Rattus norvegicus: one gene and its partners. The protein of the gene in region 5 purifies or fractionates together with the protein of the main gene of each other region. This does not show direct contact. Links are inferred from orthologs where the notes say so. Each region holds a gene or a part of one and is shown on either strand. Other genes may lie near its edges. The genes, in order: Lemd2, Abcb10, Mgat1, Letmd1, Slc39a4, Agpat4 and Vps45.

Region 1 (4,283 bases), on a different chromosome or scaffold from region 5:
CAAGAAAAGAAAGAGAAAGGTTAAAAGTGGGACTGGGTAACAGAGAGACCTCTCAAGACCCAGGGGAAGCAAAACTTGGCTGGCACAAAGGTAGAGACCGGAAGATCCATCTGTCAGTGGCCAGTACAGTGCAGGCTCCAAGACCCAAGGGTTCCTCATGCTGGGTCAGGACACTGGTAATTAGGGCCTTTCCAGCAGCCACCGATTCCTGGGTAACTTAACCTCTGTTTCTGGTCCTGAAAATGGAATTGCATGGGTCTTCCTATGTACAGCTGTAAGGCCAGCACTCAGGAGGTTAACACAGGAGGACTGCCACGAGTCTGAGGCTGGCCTGAGGTACAGAGAGGATGCTGTCTCAAGAAACAAAACAAGGGCTGAAGGTGGCTCAGCTGTTCTTGCAGGAGGCCTGAGTTTGAATCCCAGCATCTACACGGCTGCTTACAACCGCCAGAAACTCCATTTCTGGAGTCACCATCGCCCTCTCCTGGTCTCCATGGGTACTGCATGCAGGTGGTGCAGATGCACATTAGGCAAGACACCCATACACATAAAACAAGTACAAAAACAAAGAAAGGATGGATGGATGGATGGATGGATGGATGGATGGAAGGAAGGAAGGAAGGAAGGAAGGAAGGAAGGAAGGAAGGAAGCCAGCCAGCCAGCCAGCCAGCCAGCCAGCGGCTTTTGTTGCTTAACTGGGGAGTTAGGTTCAAACAAGACAAGATACAGAAAAATTTTACGAGCTGTGAACGACGGTATGTCAAGTAAGAATGAATGCTATCACAGGAGGGAACTCTAGATGGTCTTACATCGTAAGCAGACAGCAGCACCCAACGCTATACGACATCCCCTGAGCACTGCCAGCACTCACCTCTGTTAGCCTCTAGCAGACCCGGAAACTATTCCCAGGGTGGCTAACAGCTCCAGCCATGGAGCAGAACAGACTCGCACACGCCCAGACCTCCATTCCTCACAACACCTAAGACAACGGCTGAGCTTGGCCCGGTATTTCAGCTACTCCTCAGTGGGGGAAGATATGACCCTGACTCGAGGCTAGCAACAGTGTTAACCACGGGCACGCTTCAAAAATAAAACGAGCTGTCATTTTATACCTATATTTGTATCAAAACGATCGATCGGGGTCTGACGATTCTGCTCTATAATTCCGGCTTGGGGGAAGGTAGGGCAAGATCATAGTTTGGAGTCATCCTGAACTAGAGTGAGTTTGAGGTTAGCCTAGGTAATTTAGGGAGGCCCTGCTTCAAAGTAGTTTTCAAAAGTCAGCTAGCGAGCGACTGTAGCTTGGTGGCAACATGCTTGCCTGACGTATGGGAGACGGACCCTAACTATAGTCTCTTATGCCAGGGGGATGGACTTTCATAAAAATGAAGTGTTTTTCTTCTTTTGTTAGAACCAAGAGTAAGAGGCAAAAATCCTTCTTGGGAGACACCAGTCCTCAGCTGTTCAGGAGGCACTCAAGGGATGCAGAGTCATCTGAGTGTGGGCAGAGATGTCTAGTAAGTTGCCTGAGGTCCTCTCCCAGAACAGCCCGAGGGTGCTGTCAGCCCCATAAGCACCCCAGTGGTACCAGTTTAAGCTTAAAGGAATTCTCCCACGCCTGTGCCACAGGCAGGCCCATACTCCTTTTGACAAATGAGCCAGTGTTGGTGCTACAAAGCTGGGACCACAAGAGCAGGCATTCCCAGAATCTGGGGGGGGGGGGGTAATCTGGAGCCTTCAGAGGGTCTCTCAAGTGTGAACGAGCAAGAAGTCAAAAGGGAGGAAGACAAGAGGGGTGGGCTGTCTGAGTGGGCGTGGAGCTTCCTCCCCAGAGGCCATGAAGAACCTGCTCCCTGCAGTGGCTGAAAGGGAGACTCTATAGAAAGACTGGGGAAAACAGAAAAGAGCAGAAAGTGGAGACGGAAAGTGAGGGTCTGGAGGTGAGAAGACGGTCGTGGCTCACAAGGCGCGACGGGGACTCGGTGGTCTGGGGCGGGGGGCGAACACCCGTGCCCGGGGCCCTCCCCTGCGCCGGCCCGGGACGTACTGTTGTCCTCCGCCTCCTGTGGCGCCGAGGGCTTGCCCATCTTCACCCAGAGGATGGCCAGGAAGACGAGCAGCAGCCCCAGGCTGGCCCAGAGCAGGAGCCGAGACAGGCAGCGCTCCAGCCGCCGGCCCGCCTCGGGTCGGGCCCGCACCACGCCCGCGGAGCCCGTGCGCTGACCCTTAAGGCCGGGACGCGTGTCGGCGCCGAGGAGCGCGGAGTGCGGCCGCGCCGAGGCGGACGACGCGACCCACCAGTGGCGGGCCCGGCCCGGGGCGGCCCTGTCGGGCGTCCGCGCATCCTCGTCGTCCTCGGAGCTGCCCCGGACCGAGGCGCGGCGCCGCAGCGGCCCGGGCCCGGTGTGGGTCGGGTAGGAGAGGCCCCGGCTCACGGCCCAGGGAGCGGCGGAGGCCCCGAAGTTGCCGTAAGGCCCCGGGGTGTCGGAAGCCGCGCTCGGGGCTGGCGGGGACAGCCAGGGCTCCGACCGCGGGACGGCCGCGGCGGGCCGCGCGCGCAGCGGCGCTTCCTCGCGTAGCCGGGCCTCCTCCCGCTGACGCTCCGGGCCCCGCGGCCGGGCCTCCTCCCGCGGCCGCTCGTCGTCACGCAGCCGGGCCTCGCCCCGCAGGCGGCGCAGCTTGTTGCGGTAGACGTTGCGAGTGGTGTCGGTGATGGGGCCTGGCTGGAAGCCCAGGGCCTGCAGCTCCCGCCGCAACTCCAGGTCCGACAGGCCGGCCATGGCCAGGACACCGCCCCCTCGCCCGCCCCCGGCGCGCACCGCACCCGGAACTGCTCCCGCCGGCAGCCGCGGCGGAGCGGGCGGGGCCGCGCGCCATGATGGGAAGGTCAACACTGGACGCCATATTGGGAAGGGCGGCGCCTGAAGGGTCTGTCCGCCATGATGAAAAATGTCTGTGTCGGCCTGGAGCCGCCATGTTGGTGAGGTCCAAAGGGTTGGGTTGGTTACCTTTTTACCGGTGTCTGTGCGCTCGCGGGTGCTTTCATCTCTCCCCCCCGCCCTCTAGTTTACCTTTGTCTGTTAGATCTAGCAGTGCTTATCCTAACGCAGTGCTAGCACGTGGTAGACATTCAATAAAATGTTGATTTACTTAATGGATGAGCTGCCCGACGGTGTAAGAAAACTTCCGCCAATAGTAGAGATCCAGCCCATTTGCGGGTCTCCGGATGGGCGTGGGGGGCTGTGTGTGAGATTTGGGTGGTGCAGAGTCCGTCTGGCATGTTCTCGGAGGCCTTAGGTTGACCGCTTCAGACCAGCCTCAGGCACGCAGTTGGTGAACAATGAAACATCAAGAGTGTGCACCCTTGGGACTGGAGAGATGGCGCTGCACTTAGGAGCACTTGGACCGGAACTAGGTTTGGGCACCAGTACCTAAGTGGCTGGTGCACATGCATGTGCGTAAAACACTCATGCATAAAAGAAAAGTAAATATATATAGTTTTAAAGTGCAGCTCTGGGACAGATTGATCCACAGTGATCACAGGTGACCCAAATATCCCCAAGCCCAGAACTCCCGTGGGCGGATTCCTATACTCTGGACTCCTAGCGGCAGATAACTGTTCCCTAGGTTCCTGTGGGTGGATGAGCCTGGTAAAAGGAGGCATTGTGGTACCTGGTGGAATTCTCATGGGAGATGGGATCGGGAAGACCTATAGTCAGTACAACGGTTTAGAGGATGGTCTGCAGAGTCTCGCCGTTTGATTTCCAACCTGCAACCATTCAGTGTGATAATTTCCAATTAACATTTCTAGCCGACTTCCCATATCTCCCTTAGAGGGCTGCTGTGAGGATTAGAAGAGACCTTCAGGACAGGGTCTGGAACAGCCTCCTCCCTCGGCCAAATCTGTGCAGTGTTGGGAGCTTTGGGGGTGGGGGCAGTGATTTGGTTAACGAAGGGTCAGAGAAAGTGGTGACAACTGGAAACAAACACAGTTCACAGCCTTGCCCTCACTCTCTTCCCCTTCCTGTTCCTTCCACATCCTTCATCACCTTCCTTTTCCTAGCAATATAGTGGCTCCAGCTCTCCCTCATTCTCTTCCCAGCCACCTCCTCGAGATCTCCCTGCACTCTCCCTCACCTTCCTCCCTGCCTTCCCCTAGACCTGGGCCTTGCTCCTCTGTCAGAGTTTCATGGTTTTGCGCTTGTTAAACCCCAGGAGTATTCAGTGCCGGCCACACAGCTGGGAAAATTACAGCCTCAGCTCTGTTGCCTTCTGTCGTTAGC
Region 2 (4,299 bases), on a different chromosome or scaffold from region 5:
CCGCAGGGTCTTTTTTTTTTTTTTTTTTTTCTTTTCTTTTAGACATTGTTTCACTATGTAACCCTGGCTGTCCTGAAACTCACTCTGTAGAGCAGGCTGGCTCAAACTCAGTTCACCCTGCGACTCCCCGGGGTTAGAATTCCTGCAGTAATGGGAAGAAAACTCAAGTCTTCTTGGGTCTCGGGGCTGCATTGTAAAGGACTTCCCACTGCTCCAACCTGTTCTCGTGGTGATGCTCACCTCTCCACCTCGGAACTTGACATGCAGGTGAGGCCCTTGTCTGAGTGTGAAAACATACAAAGATGCTGAAGTCTCAGGATCCAGACAAATATGGAAAATTCTTATATTCTTATTATTTTTGAGACTTTGTTTTTTAATGTAGTCCTGGCTATCCTGGGACTCTCTATGTAGACTAGGCTGGGCTGAAATTCAAAGAGTTCCATTCTACCTGCCTCTCCTTCCTGGGTGCTTGGATTAAAGGGGTGCTCAATGTCTGGGCCAAACATGGGGAATTTTCTAAGAGAGGAAAACAAAACAAAATAAAAAACATAAACTACAACTGCTTACTGGTTGGTTTTGTTTTTTCTTGTCTCTTTTTTTTCTGAACTTAAGTGACCCGGTACTCATGAAGTGAAGGCTGTATTACCCTCCCACTTCCTATTTTAATAAATGACTTTTCCAGGGTTGGGACTGGGGTAAAAAGAGGAAGAATCCTGCAAATTCGGAGACTTATGCGTTTGAAAGTCTGATGTTTTGTTCCTTAAGAGTTTTTTCCATTCGTGCTGGGTTTCAGGAATATATTGAACTAAAATACTGATTGATGTTGAGGTTGTTTTGCGACTCTCCCTTTCCCCTTTTTTAAAGACAGGGGCTCACTATGCAGCCCACGCTGGCCTCGAACTCAGAGATCTCCTGTCTCTGCTTCTCAAGTGCTGTGATTAAAAGCGTGTGCCCGGCTGAACTCCAGTGGCTCCATTGCATTTCGTTCTGGTCGAGCGAACTATCTAGGAGTCCACAAACTCTCCCCCTTCCTCACTCCAGGCCTCCATAGGATACCCACGGCCCGCCGTGCTGCTCGAGGGGCCACTTCTACTCTCCCGGCCTCTGCAGCAGCTCCTACATTGCACAGTCCTATAAAAAGCCTTGGTCTCCTTGGTCCGCCGACCGTATCCAAGGCAGAGGTACCCAAAGGTCTCAAGCGCGGTCCATAATCTGCGACCAGAGTGCCGCGCGTGCGCACTTCGGCAGTGGCCGGCGACAGAAAGGGCTCGGACGCTCCCAGGTTCACAAGCCGCGGAGGGCGCAGGAGCGCGAAAAAGCTTCCGCGTGCGGCTCGCGGGCGCAGGCGCTGGCGACTGCAGCCTAGACAAGGCATTGCTGGGGAGCTACCGGCTGGTCGCCGCCCAGGGGTGGACCCTGCGAGGCGGAAGGCGCGGCCCGGGCGCCCGCCCGATGGGGCAGGAGGGGCGGGCCGCTGCTGCGTCCCCGCCCCGTGCTCGGGCCGGGCCGGGAGGGTCCCGGGTCCTGCGGCCCGGCCGGCTGGTGAGACTGTCGGGGCAGACGCAGCGCCATGCGCGCCCCTCCTGCCAGGGCGCTGCTGCTGTTTCCGCGCCGGGGCCCTGCTGTGCGAGCTTGGGCCCCGGCCGTCTCCTCTCGGACATGGTTGGCTTCTGAGTGGACTCCGCTCGTACGCGCGTGGACCTCTCTGATCCACGAGCCGAGCCCGGGCCTCCGCTTTCCCGTGCCCCTTTCGGGGCTGCCTGGCGGCGTGGGACGGTGGGCCACCTCCTCGGGGATCCGCAGGTGTTGGGTGCTGGCAGGACCCCGCGCCGCGCATCCCCTGTTCGCCAGGCTCCAGGGAGCAGCGGCCACCGGTGTGCGAGACCTTGGGAACGACTCGCAGCGGCGGCCCGCGACGACCGGGCGCTCAGAAGTGTGGAAGCTCCTGGGGTTGGTGCGCCCGGAGCGCGGGAGACTGTCAGGTAGGAACCCTGGGGGAGACCAGTGGGCGGCCGGTGGGCCCCGGCCTGGGCTCGGCCTTGACAAGGGCGATCAGGTCTGCTGACACCTGTTGGAAGGCTATGGATGCCTTTTCCCAGCTGGCTGACGCTCTCCATCTGTAGAGCCTGTTACCAGAATATTAAAATTGTTGTCAGCGACTGCTTTGGTGCATTCTCTGAATAAGCTAGCGTTTCCTCCTTTAAGGAAAAAAACACCACAAGTTTTGACAAAACCCATGCCTACTTTATATTATACATTTAAAATGATGATGATGATGATGATGATGAAAATAATAATAATAAAAACATCGCTTGGAGGGTTGGGGATTTAGCTCAGTGGTAGAGCGCTTGCCTAGCATAACAACAACAACAACAACAACAACAATAATAATAATAATAATAATAATAATAATAATAACATCGCTAGGAGGGTTGGGGATTTAGCTCAGTGGTAGAGCGCTTGCCTAGCAAGCGCAAGGCCCTGGGTTCAGTCCCCAGGTCCGAAAAAAAAGAAAAGAAAAACAAACAAACAAACAAAAAAAAACCAAAAAAAAAATCGCTAGGGTTACACAGTATCAAGGCAACCACCAAAAATTAACAGGATGAAGTTGAGCACTGTGAACTTCGTGCTGGCTGTCACCTCCCTAAATGGCTTGGTCAGGACCAGGCATTAGCCACGGCATAAAGAAACTAGACAGAAACTCACCCGGATCGACAAATGGCTTTTAAAAAGAAATCAGAATTGATTGGGTCTAAATGACAGTATTCTGTAACTCCCCCATGTCTGGCAGCCAATGCAAGCAAGACTGGTTGGAGCAAAGGCACACTGAGACCCAGATCCCTAAATCTCCAGTCCTTTCATGAATGTGGATTGTGCCCGCCTCCTGTGGGATTACCTTGAGAAGCTGGCATGGAGTCCTGCTCCTGCTGGGAATCCCTGCTTAGCAGGCAGGGAAACCGTTTGGATGCGAGATGAAATGGGATAGGCATGAGGGTATTGCAAAAGGAAAGACGTTGTCATACAACTCTTGAAACAGGCAGGACCTCAGGTTGGTTGTTGAGCCCCTATCTGCACAAATTACCCTCTTTGGGGGCCATTGGGCATGGAGCAAGGGCACAGGGGATCTGCCATCTACGAGAGTCAGGAGGTTGTTGTGACCTTACTATAAGAAGACAGAATTTACGATGGTTGTGAATTTCGATGGAAAAAGTCCTTTTCTTCTCGACTATCTTGTAAGCTTTTTTCCTCTGTGTTTTCTTTAATTTCTTTAAATGAATTATTTGCTTTCATTAGATGAGCACTTGTTTTGTTTTAGTTTATTATGTGTGCTGATGTTTTGTCTGCCTGCATGTGTGTCTGATCCCCTGGGACTGGAGTTACAGTTATGAGCTGCTATGTGAGTAGCAGGAATTGAACCCTAAACCCTGAACCCTGGATTCTCTGGAAGAGTGGTCAGTGCTCTTAATCACTGAATTACTGAGACAGGTGTAATATAATCCAGGCTGGCCTCAAACTCACTATGTAGCTGAGGGCGTCCTTGAACTCCTGATCCTCTTGTCCATCTCTCGAGTGCTGGAATTATAAGTGTGAGCCACCAAACCCAGGTTTAAAAGATATCCAACGGTGGGGGGCAGGCGTGAGGGGGAACATGGAGGAGCAGACAGTGTGCACGGAGGAGCCTGGAGACCCTGGTCACCTGAGTGTGTGCAGACTGTGAGGGGCTGAGGCAGGAACCTAGGCTCCTGCTTCTGAAACTTCAGATCTCAAAGTTGTGGGGAGTCAGGCTTTGCTGATGCCACCTAGCCCTTCCCTATCTGCCTGTGCCTGTCATGTCTATGACCTGTCACCTGGCCCCACTTGTCCTGCCCTGCCAGCATACCGTGGAGTCTGCATTAAGTTAAGTTAGAACTGGAACCGGCTTCCATCATCTGAGCCACCAGTCTACCTCACTGAGCTGTCAGGTGTGTGACCTGAGGGACAGACACATTGCCACTGACAGTCAGGGTTTTGTTTCTGAGTCAGGGTCTTGCCATTAGTCCAGATGGTTCTCCAGCTTGAGATCTCAAGTGCTGGGACGTCTTAAGGCTTCCTAAGTAGGTAACACATATATTCTGCCTTCAGGAAGACTGAAGGAGCGCTCTCTAGACAGCTTTTACGTTCTTCAGAGGCCACGGTAAAGGCGGTCTGGTCGTTGGCGCTGCTGGAAGTAAGAGGAAGTGGCGGTGCCGTTAATTTGTAATAGATCATGCCAAGGGTTGGCACATTTCTGAAGTGCTGGGGGGACAGAGCTGTTGAGTA
Region 3 (4,185 bases), on a different chromosome or scaffold from region 5:
GCCAAAGCAGTTAGACAGGAAGCCGGTCAGAACACAGTAACTCCCCACCACATCTATCTCTACAGACCTTTGTTTAAATTCCAAGGCTCACAAGATGATCCCCAAATGCAAAAAGGCTACCCCCCCCCCGACAAAAAGGGTACAGCATAGAATTGGGATTGGGTAAGTTTTTACACAGGAGTAATAGAAAGCATTTGGTCTAAGTAACAAGAACATGTCAGGACTGAGACCTCAGGTTCTACAGAGGTTACACTGGGGAAGAAAGTAAGAAATGGGAGCTGGGTGTCTGGACGCTGGGGATGAGCCTGGGATCAGATTATGTGCAAATGGAAAAACAGGAAGATCAAGTCACAGGATAACAGAGAATTAAGACGTCATATACTTGCCTGCCTACTGTTCCACCACCAAAAAGTAAAAACTTCCAGGAAATCGCCCCTCACAAACTACAACTTAGATACCTGAAAGTGTTTACAGTTTGGAAAGGATTCATGCTCTGAATGTCTGAAGAGATCTTGGCTTAAAGGCATAAGAGGAAGCAAGACCAAAGTGTTAAACTAGCATTTTAGTATCCTTTGTCATTCCTCCTAACATGTCTGTCCCAAACCAGTGATACGGAAAGGAACTCAAACTTATTAACAGTAGACCACTGAGCAATGCCTCTGAAACCCTTCATTAGCTACCTGCGCTTCCTTTTAGAATAAAGTAAGGTCTAAATAAATCCAGTTAAAAATCCCCATACAATGTGTGATTAAATTTATCACCAGTCCTGGCTAACAGCCTGACCTACTTGAGTGTGGTACCCTAGCACTCTGGTGACCTCATGAGAAGGTTTGAAAGAAATGTCTGACAGAAGAGTCACCAGGCTCTGGCAGGTGAGAGACTCTAGCTCAAGTTAAAGAGGAGAGGACTTACCAGAGAGGCTGTCAGGGCACCTAGTTTCTCTCTCCCTGGCAGGCTGATGGTGAAGTCAACTCAGCCCTCAACTGCACAAATGCTATCAACATATGCCATACCCCTTAGGTGAGCTCTTCCAGCTCAGGGCTTCCACGGCTCCTCCCCAAAGTAGAAAAACATGCTCTTCCTTAAAGGCAGAAAGCAGATAACAGACCTGACACTTTGGATAGCATACTCACAATCAATGTAACACACCTCGGTGGGCCAGGAGGGTCTCCTCAGTAGGATGAAGAAAGTCTTCTAGAACATATCACACCCTACAGGTGGCTAAGGAGGCATTGCCATAAGAAATCACGATTCCCCTACATAAGCAAAGATTGGCAACTGTGCATTTATTGAGGGAGAAGGGAGGGTGACACATCCAACTACGATTCATGCGTAGAAGCCTGGTCTGTCCAGACAAGAGAAAGCTCGGAGCCAGAAGACCTACTCAGGGCAGACAGCCCAGCCTTCAGGCCACTGAGAAAAGACAGGGACTCCTATGACAAGAAGAACAGTCATTGTCATCGGTGACTTCGACGTCTCTCTGTAATTGACTTGAAGGCTCAACGAGTCTAGCTAGCCTTGGCCAACACACGCTGCCTCAAATTCCTACTCAGTCCCTTGCCTTTCGCTGTTGACTTTACCACTAGGAAAAGCAGGCACCTTAGTATAAGTAAACTTTAAAAGAAAAAAAAAAAACATTCAAGGAAGGAGCAGGTGGGTACTTAGATGACTAAGGACAAACTTGCTTGGGTTATGAACAACCTAAAGAGAAATAAAAGCCCAAGAGATATCAGTTTGGAGGCAGTTGTCACTGCCTGACAGCAGACTGGGATATGACAGGGGAGAAAAGGTCCAGCACCCACTCCAAGAAATACTTAAAACGTCTATCTCCAAAGCTCACAGGATCCCTCAATTTGTTTCCCTAAACCTGTCCACCTTTATATAGCATGATGAAACAATCGCCAGGCGGTCTCCTTTCATCAGTTATGTCTGCTATGGCTCCAGCCAACATGTTCAGTCAATACAAGAACGAACTTTCATCCAGGGCTTTTCTATGTGTTACAATAAACAAGAAACCAGGAAAAGTCAATGTTGCCGTTTTATATGTACAAGGCCCAGGGTACTTTCAAAATGCAAAATTATTCCGTTTGTTCCTAGTAGCAACCTGACTGAAATATCTTCTTGTGTGAAAAGAACAGGACAGAGATAATTATCATATCTCAAGTTGCACATTGACCAGGAACGTCTGGGCTAGACCACGGATTTTACTGTTCCCCAAACTCAAGCTCTGTTTTTTTGTTCTTTCCATGAGATTTCGTGACCTAAGCTTTCTTACTGGGGAGGAAGGAAGCGAGATCATTTAGTAAGTTATCTAACCATTTCCTATCCTCCAGCTCCCCTCTCCACCTCCCTTGAAAGTCTTATTCTGTTAACAGATTCCCAAAACAGAGCAGTCAGCACCGGCCAGAGTCATCCACTTCAGCCTTAGTCCAGACGGATTTGAAATCCTATTATCTCACTGGAGGAAAGGCTTTTAAAGGTAACTAATCCAACAGTCCTCCAGAAGCCTGATTTCCTTGCAGGCTCTCCTTGACCTAACCTCACAATCCTTTACCAGCTATTCTCTGGAGCCTCAGTAAGGAACGGGAAAGAACGACTCTGCCACCCCCTGAAAGAGTGAAGTAGGGTGCCGCTTCCTGTGCACCATCAGGATAAGGGTTTGTTCTCATCAGGACACAGGAGGTGCCATGACTTCCGACATGGCTGCGTTCCCATTCACATTTCCTGCACAGCAACAAGGCGCTAAGTGAGACAGTAACAAACTTACCTTTCTTTTCTTCTCTCTGTTGCTTCCCTGGAGATCAACGCGCAACCCCCCCTCCCACCCCCCTGCCTAATACTTCATTTCCAAAACTGAGAATCAGATCCACCAAAGTACAGCTTCTCTCCACTTATCCAAGTCCAAGGTCCATGGCCGTGTGGACCGTGATGGGGAGGAGTCTGGGGGGGAAGGGGTGTGTCCGGGCCCCTCCCCCCCCACGGCTGACTTCAGTGTCCCTCCCAGGTGCGCGTTACATCCCTTCATCCAGCTGGCTTTTAAAGCTCAGAGGCTAGTGGTTGACAGATTCCAGGGACTGTGGCATCCCTTGCTGAGGCAAGAGAAAATCATCCACTGGTCCACTTGTGTTCTGCTGGGGATCAGAAGAAACAGGCTTTAACACCGACACGGCCCAGGCGGCTGATTTCTGTGTGAACCTGCGGAACATTTAAACAGTATGACACTCTAATCTAATACATGCACAAATGGACTTCTAAGACTTCCATATTTACTACACTCCTTTACCATGTTCAGTCAACAAACTCTAACTACTCCACACAATTTGTATATAGAGTATATACTGTATCCCCAGCATTTCGAGCATGTGTGTTTATGTGTTTGTGATATGCCTATTCTCAGTACAGAAATGTTAACCAAAAATACTGTCAGTATGGGAAGACTGTCTTCTAAAAAAAAAAAAATACAGAAAATAGGGTCTACTGTTCTCTAAAACACCACTTACTAATCCTATCTCTCAAGCTCCTCTGGGAGTTCAGTGTTTTAATCTCCTACCTCCTGTCAACTGGACTAAATCCTACCCAGACCTAGCCTCAGGCATTCTCTGCAACCCTCACCTCCCCCACTGTTTCCAAAACTATGCCAAGGATGTAATTCCCAGTTTCTTTCAAACTCCTTCACAGGGCCACTCCTGAGAGCACTCTCCTGGAATATTGGAGGCCTGTGTCCTGCTTGTAGTAGCCCTAATTTCTCAGTTTGAGAGCCCTCCCTGTTGCCCCATCCCCTATGAGTGTGTACACACACACACACAAACACACACACATAAACACACACACACACATAAACACACACACACACACAAACACACACACACATAAACACACACACCCCTCTTCCTGTAGGGGCGTGGCAGACACATGACACCCCCCCCCCCGAACTTAACTCCTCCCACCCTTCCCTCCCGAACCCCGCGCTCACTGCTCAGCTCTCAGCGTTCTTACAGCACGGTGACACTGAGACCCTCCCTATACTCAGAAACCTCCCTTCCGCTGCGGCTAGGACTCAGTCCCTTACTGCAGACTGCAGGGGCTCCTTACCTGGGCCCCGCCCATCGGTCCCGGCTGGGAGCCTCGGCCCTCCCGGCTCCAGATCCAGGCCGGGGCCGGGTCCCAGCCGCCCGCAAGCCCCAC
Region 4 (4,281 bases), about 23 Mb from region 5:
CTAGGAAGCGCAAGGCCCTGGGTTCAGTCCCCAGCTCCGAAAAAAAAGAACCAAAAAAAAAAAAAAAAAAAAAAAAAAAGAAAGAGGGTCCTTTCTCTCTCTCTTTTCCTTGCAGGGTGTTCCAGGCAAGCTGGCCTCTGAGATTCTCTCTCTTTTCCTTGCAGGGTGTTCCAGGCAAGCTGGCCTCTGAGATTCTGGAGATTTTCCTATTTCTACCTCCCATCTCCCCCATTGGAAGGCTGGGATTATAAATGTATACACTCAAGGATGGAGGTGAGGGACTTAGAAGCTACCTGAGAACGGAGAGAACCCATCTTTTGGTTACTGTCTTATGGTTTTACTGCTGTGAACAGACACCGTGTCCAAGGCAACTCTTATAAGGACAACATTTAATTGGGACTGGCTTACAGGTTCAGAGGTTCAGTTCATTAGCATCAAGGCAGGAGCAGGGCAGCATTCAGGCAGGCATGGTGCAGGAGGAGCTGAGAGTTCTACATCTTCATCTGAAGGCTGCTAGTGGAAGACTGACTTCCAGGCTGCTAGGGTGAGGGTCTTAAAGCCCACATCCACAGTGACACACTTGCTCCAACAGGGCCACACCTTCTAATAGTGCCACTCCCTGGGCTGAGCATATATAGCTCATAACAGTCACTCTTTATCCTACCTACCTCATCTACCCAGTACTTGCACTGTACAGCTTTGCATCTGTCAAAATCACCAGCCCTCCCAACATCGAGACATTCCACAGACCTGGAAGTCTTTGCAAACATTTCATCCTTGACTTTTCACCGAATTCTACAACCCAAGTACGTTCCACAGGAAGTACACTGAGGCGACAGGTCCAAGGTACCACGCACTAAACCTGGCTTCAGACACATGGTTTCAGTGTGCTTCGTGTCGGTTAAAAGGCCTACGGGCACGAGAGGGCCGTCAACTCTCGGCTGGACGCCTAGAAACCCTTCCAAGTAGGCATTATGTGACAAGGGCACATGAGACCCAGAGAGCGAGGGCTGAGGAAGAGAGGGGATGTGAAACATCCTTCTTGGGTTCCACACTGGCCTCCTGATTGACGGAGAGCGGAGGCTCGCTCCCGCTGCCGCTAGAGGGCGCTGCGCCTACCGCATCGCCGCCACTAGAGGGCGCTGCGCCTCCCGCGTCGCCGCTACCATCGGGGCCACCGCCCCGGGCACCCACAGAGGTCAAGGCAGCGCTTGCCCGTGGCCCCGAGGCCCCAGGGACCGACGAGGGCACTGGGTCTCTCAAGGAGACGCCGTCCTCGGCTCACCATCGCTACCTCAGGCCGGGTCCGCGCGTTCCCTCCGGGAGGCCCGCTTCCGGTCCTGCGGGCGGAAGCGTCGCTGCGTCCTATCCGGGTCCCGGCCTGGGCTCGCACCGGGGGCGCCGGGCGGCTCGTAGCCGCCTGTCAGCGCCGAGGGGCGGCGCGTGCGTGCTTCGGGGCGCACTCTGACCCGGAGACGACCTGTCTCCCCTCTCCCTCCCCGCCTGTGAAGATGGCGCTGTCCAGGGTGTGCTGGTCTCGGGCTGCTCTGTGGGGTTCGACCGTCGCCCCTGGACCCTTTGTCACCCGGAGGCTGCAGTTGGGCCGCTCTGGCCCTGCGTGGCGAGCCCCTCGGTGAGGGCCCTGGAGAGAGAAGAGCATTTTTGACGTAGAAGCCCTTCCAGCGGCTCAGCCTCCGCCTCTCGGGATCCCACGCCTTGGGCCCTGGGTTTTGCTTTTCCACGCTGGATCCCTACCGAACGCCGGTCCCCAACCCTCCCTATGCTCTGTGTCCTGAGATCTCCCCGCACATCCTGAGCTCATCCATCAGCTTCCCCTCCCCATCTCTGCATGGCCTCAGCTCGCATTCCCCTGTCCCCGCAGGTTGTGCGCGCACTCCACGCTCACCCCTCTGTTCACGGCTTTTCTGCACGATCTGCCTTTGGTCTCAGACCAAAGGGCTTGAGTTTCCAGAAGGGTCGAGTTCCGCCCACGGGAACTCGTGTTGTTTTATAGTAGGGGCCCCAGGCACGAAGTGGCTTCTACTAGTTCGCAGATCGTCTCTTTGGTCTTCCTTGTAGGTCTTCAAAGCTTCACCTTTCTCCAAAGGCGGACGTGAAGAACTTGATTTCTTACGTGGTGACCAAGACGAGGGCGATTAACGGAACGTACCACCGTTTCTTGGGGCGTCACTTCCCCCGCTTCTATGCCTTGTACACAACCTTCATAAAAGGTAAACGCTAACATCGAAATCCCCGAATCCGCTCTCCTGGCAGCGTTAGTTACAGTCAGTGGATGTGCGGGGTCCACTGCAGCGCTGTGAATTGGGAGGCCTTCTCTTCCTCCAGCGTTTGAGCAGTAATTCTTACAAATTGTCATGGCCACCTCTTAAGTATCTAGAAGGATGTTATTAGGGTAGACAGGTCACCTCTTATCTGACATCACAGGAGAGAGCAGAGGAGATATATTCTAATTTCCTTAGAAATTCCTTGTCCTGCACAAGAGCAGGGGACTGTTATCATAAGAAAACCAGATGTAAATGCTTCTCTTTAAACTTCAGCTTTTTAACACCAGGGCGTCACAGTCAATTAACCCCACATGTTCCCCAACCAGATATTAACTTGCTGCTTCCTGGGGCAGTTTAGGTAACTTGTAGTGGAAATAGAATTATATACACATGGTTTCCGGGTGTTTCAGTTCAAAGCGGAGGTCCGCCAGCTAGGTTGAAGGGATGTGAAGTAATGTCACATGACCCTGGAACCAAGATGCCTGACTCAAATCCCCATTTGTGATTTAGACTGTGCACTGGTGGTGGTGACTTACATGGTCTGTCCCTTTGGTTTCTCATCTATAAAGAAGCAATAGAAGCTGCCTACTGATTACCTGTTTATGACTATTACTTAGTTGTCTAGAAAGAGTGTAGCCCAGGCTGGCCTGAGGCTTTCTGAGTCATTGATGACCTTGAACTAACGGTCTCCCTGCCTCCATGTTCTGAGTGCTGGGATTACCATGCTGAGGCCCCACACCTAATGGCAGAGATTAAACCCCCACATTTAAAATGCTTGGAACATGGCCTGACCTATTTTAGTATGGCAAGCTCTACACTAAGTGCCCAGAAAGTGTTAACTGTTACTATTGTATTCTATACTTTTACCCACTAATTAAAACAATAGACTGTTGCCAACTTTGAGTGTTACTGTAATTAGTTAGCTTCCTGGTTACTTTGTCTGAAAAGTGGAGGTAGGAATGGCTGCCTTGCCAGCTATGGTGGTTCTGTGTCTCCAGCCCCACAACCCAGCAACCCAAGGCAGGAGGAGCGGGAGTTCTAGGCCAGCTTCAGCTACGTAGCAAGATCCTGTAGAAACAAAAACAATAAACCCCCAGAAAAAAATATTTAATGGCCACCAATCATATATACGCATACATGCCCTGTATTATTTGAAGCCAATCTAGGTAATATTTCGCTCATAAACCTGGGAGCATTAAAGGTGATTTTATTCATTTTATTTGTGTGACTGCATGTATACATGTGTATATGCCTTAGTGCTCTCTGAGTCAGAAAGTGCTAGATGCCCCGGAACATGAGTTCTGGATGGTTGTGAACCACCCACCATGTGGGTACTGGGGAACTGAACCCAGGTCCTCTGCAAGAGCAGTAAATGTTTTAAACCTCTGAGCCATCTCTCTAGCTCTGGAAGCATTTAAAAAAAAAATAACTAGATAAATATAAGGATTATCATAGATTGAAGATTCAGAATGGAATCATAGCCGTATGTCAAATTATGCAAATTATAAACACTCCCCAGGAAGCAGCAAGTTAATATCTGTCTGGGGAATACATAGGGTTAGTTGACCATGCTGCCCCTGTGTTAGGGAGCTAGACTTTAAAACCAAGCATGAGTAAGGAACTCTTCCACAGCAGATCATAATTCAGCTGGGTGATGTGTCGGGGAAGGGATCGGGAGCTTCCTTGTTGGTAGTGCCGGGGAGGGGCTGGTGTGTGTGCATGTGCGTGACCACAGTAGGAGATTCAAACCGGGATAACACCACGTTCTGTCCTCCACTTTAATGGGGCAGGAATACAGATGTTATGGGCTGATGCCAAAAAGGCTAGAAGAATAAAGGCAGACATGTGGAAACAAAATCTAAAGTTTCATCAACTCTCTTACCGGGAGATGGAGCATTTGAGACAGGTACGGGCCAGGGACAAACACCCAGAAGCTCTGGGCGAGGTAACTAACCTGGAGCTCAACTCTGCTTCTTTCTCTTCCTGTCGATCAGTG
Region 5 (4,173 bases):
TAAGAGGTTGAAGAAGCTCTCAAACAGGAAGAAAATGTAGAAGCCTCCAAGTACAGCCAGCAGGCGCCAGGTGGACTGTCCACCAATGCTCTCCTCCTCGTGGGAGTGAACCTCTCCACTATGCGTGTGCAATCCCAGCACCTGAGAAGGGGGTGGGTACCGACTGGGGACTTCAGGGATACAGGGGGCTTTAGGCTGGGGCTAGGAAAGGACAGTGGGGGTGGGAGGACCCTGTTGAGTGAGGGCTGACCTTGGGTATCAGGTGCAGGAGAGCATCGCCTGTGAGTGCACCCACAGCCAAGCTTAGGAAGGTCTGCATGATGTAGTGGGTGGCTGTGCTGCATTTGGCACAGGTCAGCAGCAGAAGACCGAACACAGCGCAGAGGCAGATGAGCAGGGTGGCCAGAGAGCCATACAGATACCCTGTGGGTGAAGCTACACTGAGATTCCCCCTAGATCCTACAGAGCCAATGCCCAAGTCCAGCCAGGAAGTGAGCCGGATCTCAACAGATCTGTGGGCTGTCAGCAGGTGCCAGGTATCTATTTACACTGGCCCTCTAGCCTTGAAATCCACTATCTGTCCCTCCTTTGCTGGTTCCTCATTCCTCAGTGCCTACTCCCTGCTCCCTCGTCGAGCTCAATACCATGAGGCTAGCACCCAGGGTTAGGGACTCACTCTCTGCTTGACTGAGCTGGTCCTGTACATGGATAATGGGACTGGAGCTGCAGGCTTCACTTAGCTGCTGCTGGACCAAGGCAGGGGTCAGTTGGGCCCAGGCCTGAGGGCTCACCCCGGCCTCTTCAGATAGCCCATACACAGCCATTACATCTTTGGCACTCAGGCACAGCTGGAGGCAAAGAGAGCAGGACAGGCATCAGGCATCTGAGCAGACCCATGGAAGCCCACCTTCCTCCAGATCGGCAGGAGTGACTCACCGTGTCCCATACACTGGAGCTGCTGTTGTGGGTAGCATGGAGCTCAGAGTCTTGGTGGTTGGCTTCCCTGTCCAGATGACTGTGGTCAACATGGTCACCATGGTCACTGTGATCCTCTCCACCCACCCCAAGGTGATGCATCAAATCCTCCAATTCTGGCAAAAAAAAAAAAAAGTCAGTCCAGTCAGTGCGTTCAGCGCCAGCCTTGTCCCCTCCCCCAGGAGTAGGGGCTGATGATCACAGACTAGGCCTCACCGGGCAGCGTGATATTGCGAGGCTTACTACTGAGTTGCCTGAACACAAAGTCCACAAAGTACTGAGGGCTAGGCAGGCCTTGGAAGCAGGATCCATTAAGGACGTGATCCAGCAAGGCTGTCAAGACCAGGCCAGGGCTTCTGGAAACCCCTGCTTCCTCAGCCTCCTCCAGCAGTTGGGGAACATCTACACAGGTCTGTAAGAGAGACAGGCCTCAGCTCCACCCTCAGTAACAACTTCTGGAGTCCACTCACTGGATGGGTCTCCCATCAATCCCCCAACCCCCTCAGACAACTTCCCAGATTTCACCAAAGACTTCAGACTATATCCCTATACCAGCCACCTATCCCATAAACCTAGGCTGCCCCAGCTAGTCACTCCCTTCACTGTGGCCTATGACGTCCCTCTGCCCCAGAGCCTTCCTGACCGCCATTTCCCCAAAGGGTTCCCCCAGACTCCCTTGGAAGTCATCCTACCCAACAGTGTACCCAATACACTTAGCCACCCACGTATCTCCACAGACACCAATGAGGTTGCACGTGGGACATTTCTCTTCCTGGGGTAGCCTCCCTTCCATGGTACTACACAGTCCTTGTCACTACACTCTGAAAGCCCTCTGGGCCCTCACCTCCTCCCTGGTGGGTTGGCTGGCATCATGGGCCTCAATCTTCTGCAGTAGCTGGCTCAGACCCAGGGTCATGGCCTCTGGACTCTCCAGTTTGGCCAGGTAATCGTCCACATGAGAGGCCAAGAGGCCAGCTCGGATGTCCTTGCATGTTTTCTCTGGGTCGTTGAGGTAGAGGGCAGCGGCGGCACTGAGGTAAGTAATGTATCTGGACTCCAGGACTGATTCTGGGGCAAGCTGTGGCTTATCAGGTTTGCCTAGAGCCAAGGCAGTCTCCACAGACAGACACTGTGGACAAACAGGTAGACAGGGTCCGGGCTAGATTGGGCCCACCAGGCTTAGGCAGGGAATGGATTCTATCTTATGTCCCCTTCTGCCGCTTGTACAGTTAACCTGACTAGGAGCCTACACAAAGGGGTCCCCAGCAGTTACTCTCTGATCCTGAAGGTGAGAGTAGTCACTTAGAGTCAAGGCAAATTTGATACCCTGGGGGGGAATGAGAACTACGTGTCCCAGGAGGGAGGCCAAGCCTGTATAAGCCCCCCAGAAACGGAAGGGAGGCTCCAGCCTGCCAGCAGGTTCAGACACCAGCCTCCAGACCCGCCTCCTGGAGTTTGCCCAGCTCTCTTTAGTGCCTGCCACAGGGTGGAGCAGGCAGGAAAGGGCCGGGGCTGGGGGACCCATTGGGTGGGGGTGTTACCTTTTCACACGGCCCGTCGGTGCAGTGCACACGGGCCACCAGCGTATTTAACAGGCCGTCCAGTGCCGTTCGATCCAGAGCACCCTGGCCCGAGGTGAGTAGGCTGAGCAGGTGATAGGGCTGGACCATTGCTGCTGTGCCCACCAGCATCGCCAACAAGAGCCCCTGTGTGAGCGACTTTGGGAGCATCATGCCTCACGCTCCCAAAGTGTTCCCTGCAGTGGTGCTGGCTTCTGGGCTAGCAGGAGACTGCTGGGACTGCCTGGGGCCAGACTGGAGCTGGGTTCAACTCGCCTGACCCTAGCTACAAGACCTCTCCCAGATATTTCCTGCAGGGCTCTGTGATTGGCTGCTGGGTTAGCCATTCCAGTGGCAGATCCTCCCTGAAAGTCTAGGGGCAAGGAGCTGTAGCCTCCTGGGGCTGGAGCTAAAGGTGGGTCCCTTTCGTTAGGTGGGCGGCTTGAGCCTGTCACACTCTGAACCGCCAGTCGGGGCTTTCTCTGTTCCCTGAAGAGCCCGGATCATCCCCTTCTGTTATCTTGCCTCTGGAGCTGCGGATTAGGGGTTTGAGCGCATAGATGTTACCAAGTCAAACAAGGGTGTTCTATTTGACATTTTCAGGAGAGCCCTTAGGCTTACCTCCACCCTTCACCAGCTGCCTCTCAGCTCAAGCAGCTTAGACAAATTCCAAGTCTTGTAGCCCGAGGGTGGGGGTGCCGTGTTCTTGGCTCCTCTGGGTCCAACATGGGCTACAGTGGGAGATTCTGAAAGATACTTGCTGAGTCATGGTCCCCAGCCCTCCGGGGGAAAATCTCCAGGAAATGGCTGAAGCCCTGACCTAGACAAACAGGAAGCAAAGATGTGACCTTGGTCCTAGCCAACTTTTGGGGCTTTGAGGAGTTTCAATTGAGCAGTAGGAATTTGAAGCCCTGTGGTTGAGCCCTTCAGCCTGAGCACAAGAAGACTGAGGTAGGGCTGCAGTTCCCAGCCGTGCCCCTTCCCAACCCTTCCCAACGGATCCTTCCGGCCTTTGACCCCTGAGCCTTATCTCTATCCAGGTGGCAGGCTGAAGGAGGGGTTGGAATTTCCAGGAGCTTAAGATCCCCAGGTCACAAGGCATTTTGGCTTTCTGGAAGCCACGAGGCATTTTGGCCTTCTGGAAGAGGGCTTCCAGTAGCCCCCGAGGTACTGTGGACCTCTTCCACGCAGGTTCATACCAGTCCTGAACTCTAGCCCTCTGGGGTGTGGTTGGATATGAGCCTAATAACTAAAGAACTCTGTCACCTAGTATTCTGGAGGGTAGGGCAGGGTGGGGAAAGAATCTAGCTGAGTATCCTTGAGCTCAGGGGTCAACTGCTAAAGACCTGTTCCAAACATACACACGTCCATGTTAATAATGGCTAGGGTCCTTGCAATGCAGCATCCCTCCTGCTTTTGTGGAGGAATTGTGGCCGGGAACTGGGAGAGCCAACATGAGAGCATTCCCCACAGGTAACTCTGAAGATGCCATCCACCCAAACTGCCCTTCCTATTCCTTTTCATTGCTGGGCTGCTGGGGGCTGAAAGCAGGTTGGTTTTATCCCCTAGGGAGAAGTCTTAGTATAGACTTGATTGATCTGGCTTCCCTAGACTTCTCCCTCAAAGGGGAGACCTTACC
Region 6 (3,500 bases), on a different chromosome or scaffold from region 5:
ACAGCCGCCTTTTCCCAGCAGTGGGCAGTTTGCTTAGCTGCATCACGCAGTCTTCCAAACCTAGATCTTCTGGAGAGTGGGCTTATGATGCCATCATCACACAGGGCTGAAGAGACAGGTGCCAGTCACACGTGCAGGCAGAGCCCACTGCACTAACACTGATCTTGACCGTAGCTGGGCAGCTTTACACGTCTACAGTTAGTGTTAGTAAAAGTAGTGGGGGAAATCACAGAAATTGTATACCGTCCCTGGATCACTTGGAATATGAAGAACAAGGATTCAAATGTGATAAAATCGCCATCCATTTCTTTCCTTAATGCCTAACCCCACTACAGGTCTGTAGGTCCACTATCTTTCCCTATGGGAGAGGGTCCTCATGCTGGCTTGCAGAAGTGTCTAGAGGCATTGTCCTTAAAGACCCAACCACTTTCCCTGTTATTGGTGGGCATTGATGCCTAAGGTGGGCAACTGTCCCAGAAGATATTTAACCTGTTGATATCCTTGGCGCCCTGGATAAATCCCCCCTCACAAGAGATAAAGACAAGGCTATAGAAGCTAGCAGCATGGAGCCAGAAGCCACACCTGACCTGCCTCTGGCAATACAGCAGGGCCTGCTTGGCCCACTTTTTCCTTCAGGACAAAGCGTTCTCTTGGCAGGTCTAGGACATGAAGTTCTAGGAAGGCCTGCCTGGCTCTGTGGTGCCTCACACTTGAAGCAGTGTCAAGTCCTATCCAGCTCAGGTAAGACGTCAAGCCTCCTTTGGAGCTGAAGGGCCAGGGAGTAGGGATGTGAGAGAAAGGGGTTACATAGGAAAACAAATATGTTTTTAACTGAAGAGGAAGGGTAAAAAGAAAACGGGGGAAGTCGCTGCCTTCTGTTGGTAGCTACACTGGCTTGAGGCTCCAGACTCATGGGTCTGTACAGATCAGATCATCTGCAGGTGGTTATCAGCAATAAATAAGCAAGAGAGGGCCTCAAAGATTGCAGCTCCATGACCAGGCGATCTTCTGTCCTCCAAGGATCCTGCACTTTCTGCACGCACAGCGCAGTGCTGCCACTGACCAGCAGAGGGGAGTATTTACTGGGATTTAGAAATATGAAGTGCCCTGCCTCTCGTCCCAGGTTCCACCTAGCTTCAAAGATCCCCCATTTAGCCAGCATCCTTACCAACATCTCGCAAGCACTTCACAGTGATAGCAAAGCCCTTGGTGCGTGGCAGCAGGTGATGCTTGAGGCTGGGCAGCCCCTTGGCTTGGGCTACCTGCATGCTGATTTGGTGTTTCTTCTCTGTGAACCGTGTGCCCTCACAGTGGATCAGAAACTGAAAAGCAAAGGATGCTGGTCACACAGGGGGATTCCACGGTCACGCAACCCCAAGCTCAACTGGAGGCCACAGTCCCAAAGATGTTCATAGTCACACTTGACTCCAGGTCAGTCCCCATAGTGTCCTCGTGCCCCACAAATCCCTCAGGTCTCATGTAATTCCAGGTCACACTCAGTCCGAAGTGACTCCTATGTGTGGTAGCCACACATGATGCCACAGGAGCCAGACAGCACACTGCTCCTTTGCCTACATACCAGATACTTCTCTGGGTAGTCCCGGAGGTGCAGCAGGCTCTTGGCAACCGTCTGCCGATCTTGCTCCCACTTGCGTGTGCAGAAGATCATTTCCACAAAGTACCACATCCAGCCAATGATGGGGACATAAGCCAGTTCTTTCTTGGCCAGGACTTTGGAGTTCTGAAATAGAGGAAGAACCTTAGGGTGTCTGTGAAGGAGACATAGCTGTTGGAGCTCTCATGGGGAAGGAATGGCCAGTCATACCAAAGGCTTGGAGCCCTTCCTTTTTCCCACTGCACTGACCTGAGGAAAGGTCATGCCCACCACTGGGTGGACCGCTGCATGACAAGGGTCTGTGAACACGCACAGAGGTGTGAGGATACCCTCACGGACCACGGCCCTCCAGATTATCGACACCTGTGTGTTTGCCAAGCCCATCCTGAGGTTCTGTCCGGCAGGTCTGTATAATGCCGTGCCACAGACCAGCACATCAGCAAAGCCACCGAGTTCATACAGGCAAGGCCAGCAAGGCTCACGGCACTGGCAGGCTAGCGAGTGGAGGCCAGCAGAGTTTGAGCAGTTCCATGGGAAGCAGGGGAAGCTGGGAAGTCAACTTGGCTCAAATGGATAGATTCCCTATTCATCTCTGCCACTCACTTCTGAGGCTGGAAGCAGCCAATCTCCTCAGGTTGGGGTAGCTGCGGTTGGTCCCCAGCAACTCCTGTGACCGCACTGTGTGGGCACCAGGGGTGGGGTGGGGAACTTAGAATCTAATGGGGCAAGAAGTCAGGGGGATGCAAAATGACTCTTACCTTGCTGGGTTTGTTTTCTCTCTCTCTCTCTCTCTCTCTCTCTCTCTCTCTCTCTCTCTCTCTCTTTCTCTCTCTCTCTCTCTCTCTCTCTCTCTCTCTGTGTGTGTGTGTATGTGTGTGTGCATGCACACATGCATGCGAGTGGGGGTTGCACATTCATGTGTGTGAATGCTGACACCTACCATGGTACAAGTGGAGGCCAGAGGACAATCAGTCCTTGTCTTCTGCACTGTTTGAGGCAGCGCCTCCTTGTTGTTTGTTTGGCTGCATAAGCCAGGTTAGCTGGCCCACGAGTATCTGGGGATTCTCCTGTCTCCACCGCTCACCTCCCCGTAGGAGCAGTGGAATTGCAGACACTCACTCACACTATGTGTCTTGAGCTGTACGGAAGTTGGGGGGATTCAAACTCAGGTCCCCATACTTGCATGGCAAGCCCTTTACCCACTCAGCGCCTTGACCACTGCCACCATTCGGATTTTTACCCTCCACTTTGTAATCGACTGAGACGATCTCTGACTCTTGAGATGGATGCCCACCCACACTGACTGTGTAGACACTTGAAGGCAGCTGTCTATCCAGGTCCTGAGCCTTCGCTGCCTGGAGGGGAAGAGCAGAGGTTTCACACCGCCCCTCCCTTCTCTCCCCTTTTGCTGTCTTCCACTTGGTGTCTTGTGGCTAAGACCATACTGTCATCATATCTACCGTGCTTGGGACCCTGAGGTAGACTTCTGAGGAGGCCTCACCTACATCTACACCCAGCATGGGGCAAACTGCCAGACTCACTCTGGAGATGATCTTGCTCTTGTGCCTCTCGCCCTGGAAACCAAGCAGTCTTTGGGCTCATAGTCCTCCCGGGAGCCTACTGTCCTGTGTCCACACTAGATTTCAGACTCCGGGTGACAGGGAGGGACATTCCTGCTGGTCCTCAGTTTCTTTGGTTTCTGTCACCTTCCTACTTAAAGCTTTGACGATGAGAGCAAACCGATCCAAACACAAAGCCTCCACTGGCAAATTAAGCTCTTTTTTTCTGGAACTTAAAACTTGTTTTTTTTTTTAAGGTTCTATGTACCGGATCTTGCAAAAATTACATTTGGCGGGCTCAGGAATTACAGGATGACCCACACTGC
Region 7 (3,500 bases), on a different chromosome or scaffold from region 5:
TGTGTGCACACCAGAACAGGCTTGTACTTAGGAAGTCTTGGAGTTCTAAATCGGATAGAAAGAGAAGTCATGGAGGCAGCAGGAGGGAGCAGAGGGGCTGATTCACTGGGGGACATTTTCACAGTTGGGGAAGAGTCAGTTTGTGCTCCTGTTAGTTCATGAGAGTTCCTGGGCCCTGCTTTAAACACCTTGGTCAGTAAGACTGCGCATGACTGGGAGAGAGAGAAGAGGGACCAGAGGCTGAAGGAGGGCTTCTAATGCTCTGTCTGAGAGACCTAGGATTCGGGAACTAATAACCAGCCTTGGGCACCAGGTAAAACTTGGAAACTCCTAGTCACTTATTTATATGCTATAGGATATGTAACATTAGCATTATACTCTTACTTTTCCTTCTTGAATAGTTCAGCGTTCTTGAATACACTTGTCATAATATTTGATATATTTATCACTTACATGAAAAGTACTGTCTTCTTAGGCAACAAATTAAGTAATTTTGAGTTTTCAAAAATGTTCTAGGTGATAGAACATATAAAAAGAGTGATTTCTTCTAAATCATATTCTCCCATACAAGGAAACACTTGGCATTTAATGTGGTGTATCCTACAGCAGTGTTTTGCTTTTTACTAATTGCAAGTTTACCTTGGTGTGTATACTTGAGCATTTGTCATTGCTGTATTTATAGTAGTGCAATTGCACCATACGACCGTTGCTACGCACTTACTTGAACATCTTGTACGTTATCGCCTTCCATGTTCCCATTCGGAGCTCATAGCACTCAGTATATCGGCGTCTATAGCCCTTGAGACAGCTGCAGCCCATGCACTGACCAATCTTGATGCTTTTCACTTGCAGGAATTTTATGGAGATTATATTGCTGTGAATCCACATTTGTTTTCCCTCAATATCTTGGGCTGCTGTCAGGTATGGAAGGCCAGGATTTTCAAAATAAGTTAATCAAGTGGAAATTAATTCAACAAGCAATGAGTTAAGAGGAAAAAGGTAAAATATTTTCTTTTAATATGTTTTTAACAAAAAGGGTCGAAATTGGGATCCAGCCCAGCTATCCAGAACCACTCAAGGGCTGACCGCTCTCCTTTTGTCTCTGAAGAAGTGTCCCATGATTCGTTATCAGCTTTCATCAGAGGCTGCAAAGAGACTGGGAGAGTGTGTTAAGGTACAGTAGTCCCTATTCCCGGTCCTAAACCCTCAATGTCTGTCATTTCCCTGTAATAGTTAAGCAAATAAAAGAGAGGAAGAAAAAAGGAAGGAAGCAAAAGAGGCAATATGTTAGTTTCATTGGCAAAGAAGTATGGCTATATAATTCAAAATAATAAAAAAAGAAGCAAATTAGCACCATTACCTATAGGTTTAATATTAAGAAATATTCACAGCTATTTAACTTTAGGGGCCCAACTGAATCACTTGTAAAGTAGGGTTGCAAGTCCTGACTTTTTCCCCCTTGGAAATAGCTAGGTTTCTTATTAATGTACCATTTATAGCATCAGATCCAACAGCCCCCTGCCCCAACAAGGAAGTTGAAAAACATTAACAGAAAGAGCATATGCTGGATAGGCTAGGGAGTCAGAATCCTATGATGCCATCCCTGCCATCCCTGACAGCCCTGCCGGCCCTGCAGGCCCTGCAGGCCCTGCTTTGGGACCCAGAAGAGAGTATGAGACGCTTCAAGGCTTCCAAAGCCTCGGGGAGTCCAGGGTCATTTTGGGAGGAGTCCTCAGGGTTCTGCTTTGCGGAACCTGATGGGTATGTTGTACCTTTCCCAATCCTTTTGCCTGAGGTACATTAAACTAATTCCTAGGCCAAGGTTTGACCTGTAGCTTCTGACAAACTGAGACGAAAAGTGCTTTCCCTTGACTCCAGCTCAGATGTGCTAGCCTTGGACAACTGCTTGAGCTCCATCTCACAACTTCGATATAGGAACCAAGTCCTAATGTCTCCTTTTGTCATTCCGAGTGAGTCAGACAAAGCCTCCAGAGCCTCCTCATTAGGGCTGGGGTCAGCCTTGAAGTGCTGTATTAGCTGCAGGAACAGCTCAAGGGTGAACCCAGAGCTGCTATATGTGGAAGACAGACTGGGATTTGTCTCCATCTTGTCTCTTCTCTCATGGCTGCTGCCGATTTGAGTGTCCTTGAGGCCCTAGTCTAGGATTTTAGCTAAAATCCCACTTCCATCAAGTCCCGACTTCTTAAATAGCATGCTACAAAACTCTATGAAGGTTTTGAATCCTTTTATGGGAGGCCCATGAGGGTGGGAAAAGTACTCCATGTGTGTCCGATTCTTGTCCTCTCTGCTTGCAGCCAACTGCTTACCCAGACCACTCTCTTCTCTCACCCTCAGCAAGTGATAAGTAAAGAGTATGAACTCTTTGAGTTCCGGCGGACAGAGGTTCCTCCACTGCTTCTCATTCTGGATCGCTGCGATGACGCCATCACCCCACTGCTCAACCAGGTGTGAGCCTTTGTTAGCAGGAAGAATGGGTAGGGGTGGCGCTCATTAACAAGCAACCATGGAAACCATCCATTCTTCCCCCTTGCTTTCAGCTATTCTTGGTTTTTGCCTTACATTCTCTGGTGTATTGGTGCCCATCTCTCCAGCCCCAGTCATTTGTGCTGGCTTCCACCTCTTTCCTCCTGTCCTTCCTGCTGCTGTCCCTCTCTCAGCAAGGCCACCTCAAAGCTCTGGACTCCACTTCCTAGGGTCTCCTTTTCTGGCCTTACTGCTCGAGCGTTGGTCTAACCCCAATCTCTTGCAGTAACAGTGAAACAGGCATCCATTCAGTTCCTTCTTTTGATTTTTCTTCAATCTGTATTCTACAAAACCAAGGTTGTTAATGACCACCCTCAGCTTACAACTCCTGGCCTAAAAACCTTTGTGTTCCCACTTACCCACTGGGTTAAAAACAGTCTCCTGATGTTGGTACCCAAGCACATTCGGGGTGTGTACCCAACTGCACAGAAAGCCAGAGCTTCCTGCTACAGAGTTCCTTGCCATTGTGCTTGTGGTGTGACTGCTGTCTAAGCACAGAGACCTCTGGGATGCCTTCTCTTCGCCACCTTACCTATCAAAACTGTTTTCTCTTGAAACCACTGAGAAACCTGGGAGCAGCTTTTTTTTTTTTTCTGGAGCTGAGGACCGAACCCAGGGCCTCACTTGCTAGGCAAGCGCTCTACCACTGAGCTAAATCCCCAACCCTGAGAGCAGCTTTTTAAAGACTGCTTCAACAGACAGGGTTTACTTTCTCCCTCAGGTTGTGGAGAATTTGTCTCTTATGCCACATGCTGAACTTGCCAAATTACATCTTTGGTTTTTTTGACCATCTTGGGTAACACTCCTAAGGTAGCCTGTGTCCCCTCATGCTCATTCTGCTGCAAGTTAAGCAGTTCCTTGTATGTAGCTCTGCCGTGTGGTGATTGTGGATTTAGAGGGGAAGCTCTCTTTCCGTGTCAGTTTCTCTCAGCACATAGTTATGGCAGTGCCAAGGG

Evidence for each region.
Region 1: the proteins of Slc39a4 (region 5) and Lemd2 purify together in Homo sapiens (affinity purification with mass spectrometry; 3 studies listed by BioGRID and IntAct, counting the BioPlex papers as one, with this or other methods). This does not show direct contact. The link is inferred for Rattus norvegicus from reciprocal best matches to the Homo sapiens genes SLC39A4 and LEMD2.
Region 2: the proteins of Slc39a4 (region 5) and Abcb10 purify together in Homo sapiens (affinity purification with mass spectrometry; 3 studies listed by BioGRID and IntAct, counting the BioPlex papers as one, with this or other methods). This does not show direct contact. The link is inferred for Rattus norvegicus from reciprocal best matches to the Homo sapiens genes SLC39A4 and ABCB10.
Region 3: the proteins of Slc39a4 (region 5) and Mgat1 purify together in Homo sapiens (affinity purification with mass spectrometry; 3 studies listed by BioGRID and IntAct, with this or other methods). This does not show direct contact. The link is inferred for Rattus norvegicus from reciprocal best matches to the Homo sapiens genes SLC39A4 and MGAT1.
Region 4: the proteins of Slc39a4 (region 5) and Letmd1 purify together in Homo sapiens (affinity purification with mass spectrometry; 3 studies listed by BioGRID and IntAct, counting the BioPlex papers as one, with this or other methods). This does not show direct contact. The link is inferred for Rattus norvegicus from reciprocal best matches to the Homo sapiens genes SLC39A4 and LETMD1.
Region 6: the proteins of Slc39a4 (region 5) and Agpat4 purify together in Homo sapiens (affinity purification with mass spectrometry; 3 studies listed by BioGRID and IntAct, with this or other methods). This does not show direct contact. The link is inferred for Rattus norvegicus from reciprocal best matches to the Homo sapiens genes SLC39A4 and AGPAT4.
Region 7: the proteins of Slc39a4 (region 5) and Vps45 purify together in Homo sapiens (affinity purification with mass spectrometry; 3 studies listed by BioGRID and IntAct, counting the BioPlex papers as one, with this or other methods). This does not show direct contact. The link is inferred for Rattus norvegicus from reciprocal best matches to the Homo sapiens genes SLC39A4 and VPS45.

What each region holds. Positions count from the first base shown.
Region 1 is NC_086038.1:5,295,350-5,299,632, forward strand, and holds the start of Lemd2 (LEM domain-containing protein 2), read right to left. Parts: upstream 2,801-4,283; 5' UTR 2,781-2,800; coding exon 2,048-2,780; intron 1-2,047. UniProt on the Homo sapiens protein: Nuclear lamina-associated inner nuclear membrane protein that is involved in nuclear structure organization, maintenance of nuclear envelope (NE) integrity and NE reformation after mitosis.
Region 2 is NC_086037.1:68,877,404-68,881,702, reverse strand, and holds the start of Abcb10 (ATP-binding cassette sub-family B member 10, mitochondrial), read left to right. Parts: upstream 1-1,499; 5' UTR 1,500-1,570; coding exon 1,571-1,982; intron 1,983-4,299.
Region 3 is NC_086028.1:34,065,024-34,069,208, reverse strand, and holds the start of Mgat1 (alpha-1,3-mannosyl-glycoprotein 2-beta-N-acetylglucosaminyltransferase), read right to left. Parts: upstream 2,801-4,185; 5' UTR 2,768-2,800; exon of another isoform or gene 1-2,767. UniProt on the Homo sapiens protein: Initiates complex N-linked carbohydrate formation. Essential for the conversion of high-mannose to hybrid and complex N-glycans.
Region 4 is NC_086025.1:133,461,676-133,465,956, forward strand, and holds the start of Letmd1 (LETM1 domain-containing protein 1), read left to right. Parts: upstream 1-1,481; 5' UTR 1,482-1,511; coding exon 1,512-1,633; intron 1,634-2,079; coding exon 2,080-2,231; intron 2,232-4,075; coding exon 4,076-4,191; intron 4,192-4,281. UniProt on the Homo sapiens protein: Plays an essential role for mitochondrial structure and function, as well as thermogenesis of brown adipocytes.
Region 5 is NC_086025.1:110,215,403-110,219,575, forward strand, and holds the start of Slc39a4 (zinc transporter ZIP4 precursor), read right to left. Parts: upstream 2,801-4,173; 5' UTR 2,709-2,800; coding exon 2,517-2,708; intron 2,105-2,516; coding exon 1,820-2,104; intron 1,388-1,819; coding exon 1,192-1,387; intron 1,092-1,191; coding exon 937-1,091; intron 849-936; coding exon 677-848; intron 424-676; coding exon 251-423; intron 142-250; coding exon 1-141. UniProt on the Homo sapiens protein: Selective transporter that mediates the uptake of Zn(2+). Plays an essential role for dietary zinc uptake from small intestine. The Zn(2+) uniporter activity is regulated by zinc availability.
Region 6 is NC_086019.1:51,083,472-51,086,971, forward strand, and holds part of Agpat4 (1-acyl-sn-glycerol-3-phosphate acyltransferase delta), read right to left. Parts: intron 1,742-3,500; coding exon 1,580-1,741; intron 1,323-1,579; coding exon 1,169-1,322; intron 1-1,168. UniProt on the Homo sapiens protein: Converts 1-acyl-sn-glycerol-3-phosphate (lysophosphatidic acid or LPA) into 1,2-diacyl-sn-glycerol-3-phosphate (phosphatidic acid or PA) by incorporating an acyl moiety at the sn-2 position of the glycerol backbone.
Region 7 is NC_086020.1:186,291,678-186,295,177, reverse strand, and holds part of Vps45 (vacuolar protein sorting-associated protein 45), read left to right. Parts: intron 1-852; coding exon 853-921; intron 922-1,036; coding exon 1,037-1,174; intron 1,175-2,355; coding exon 2,356-2,466; intron 2,467-2,487; exon of another isoform or gene 2,488-3,500. UniProt on the Homo sapiens protein: May play a role in vesicle-mediated protein trafficking from the Golgi stack through the trans-Golgi network.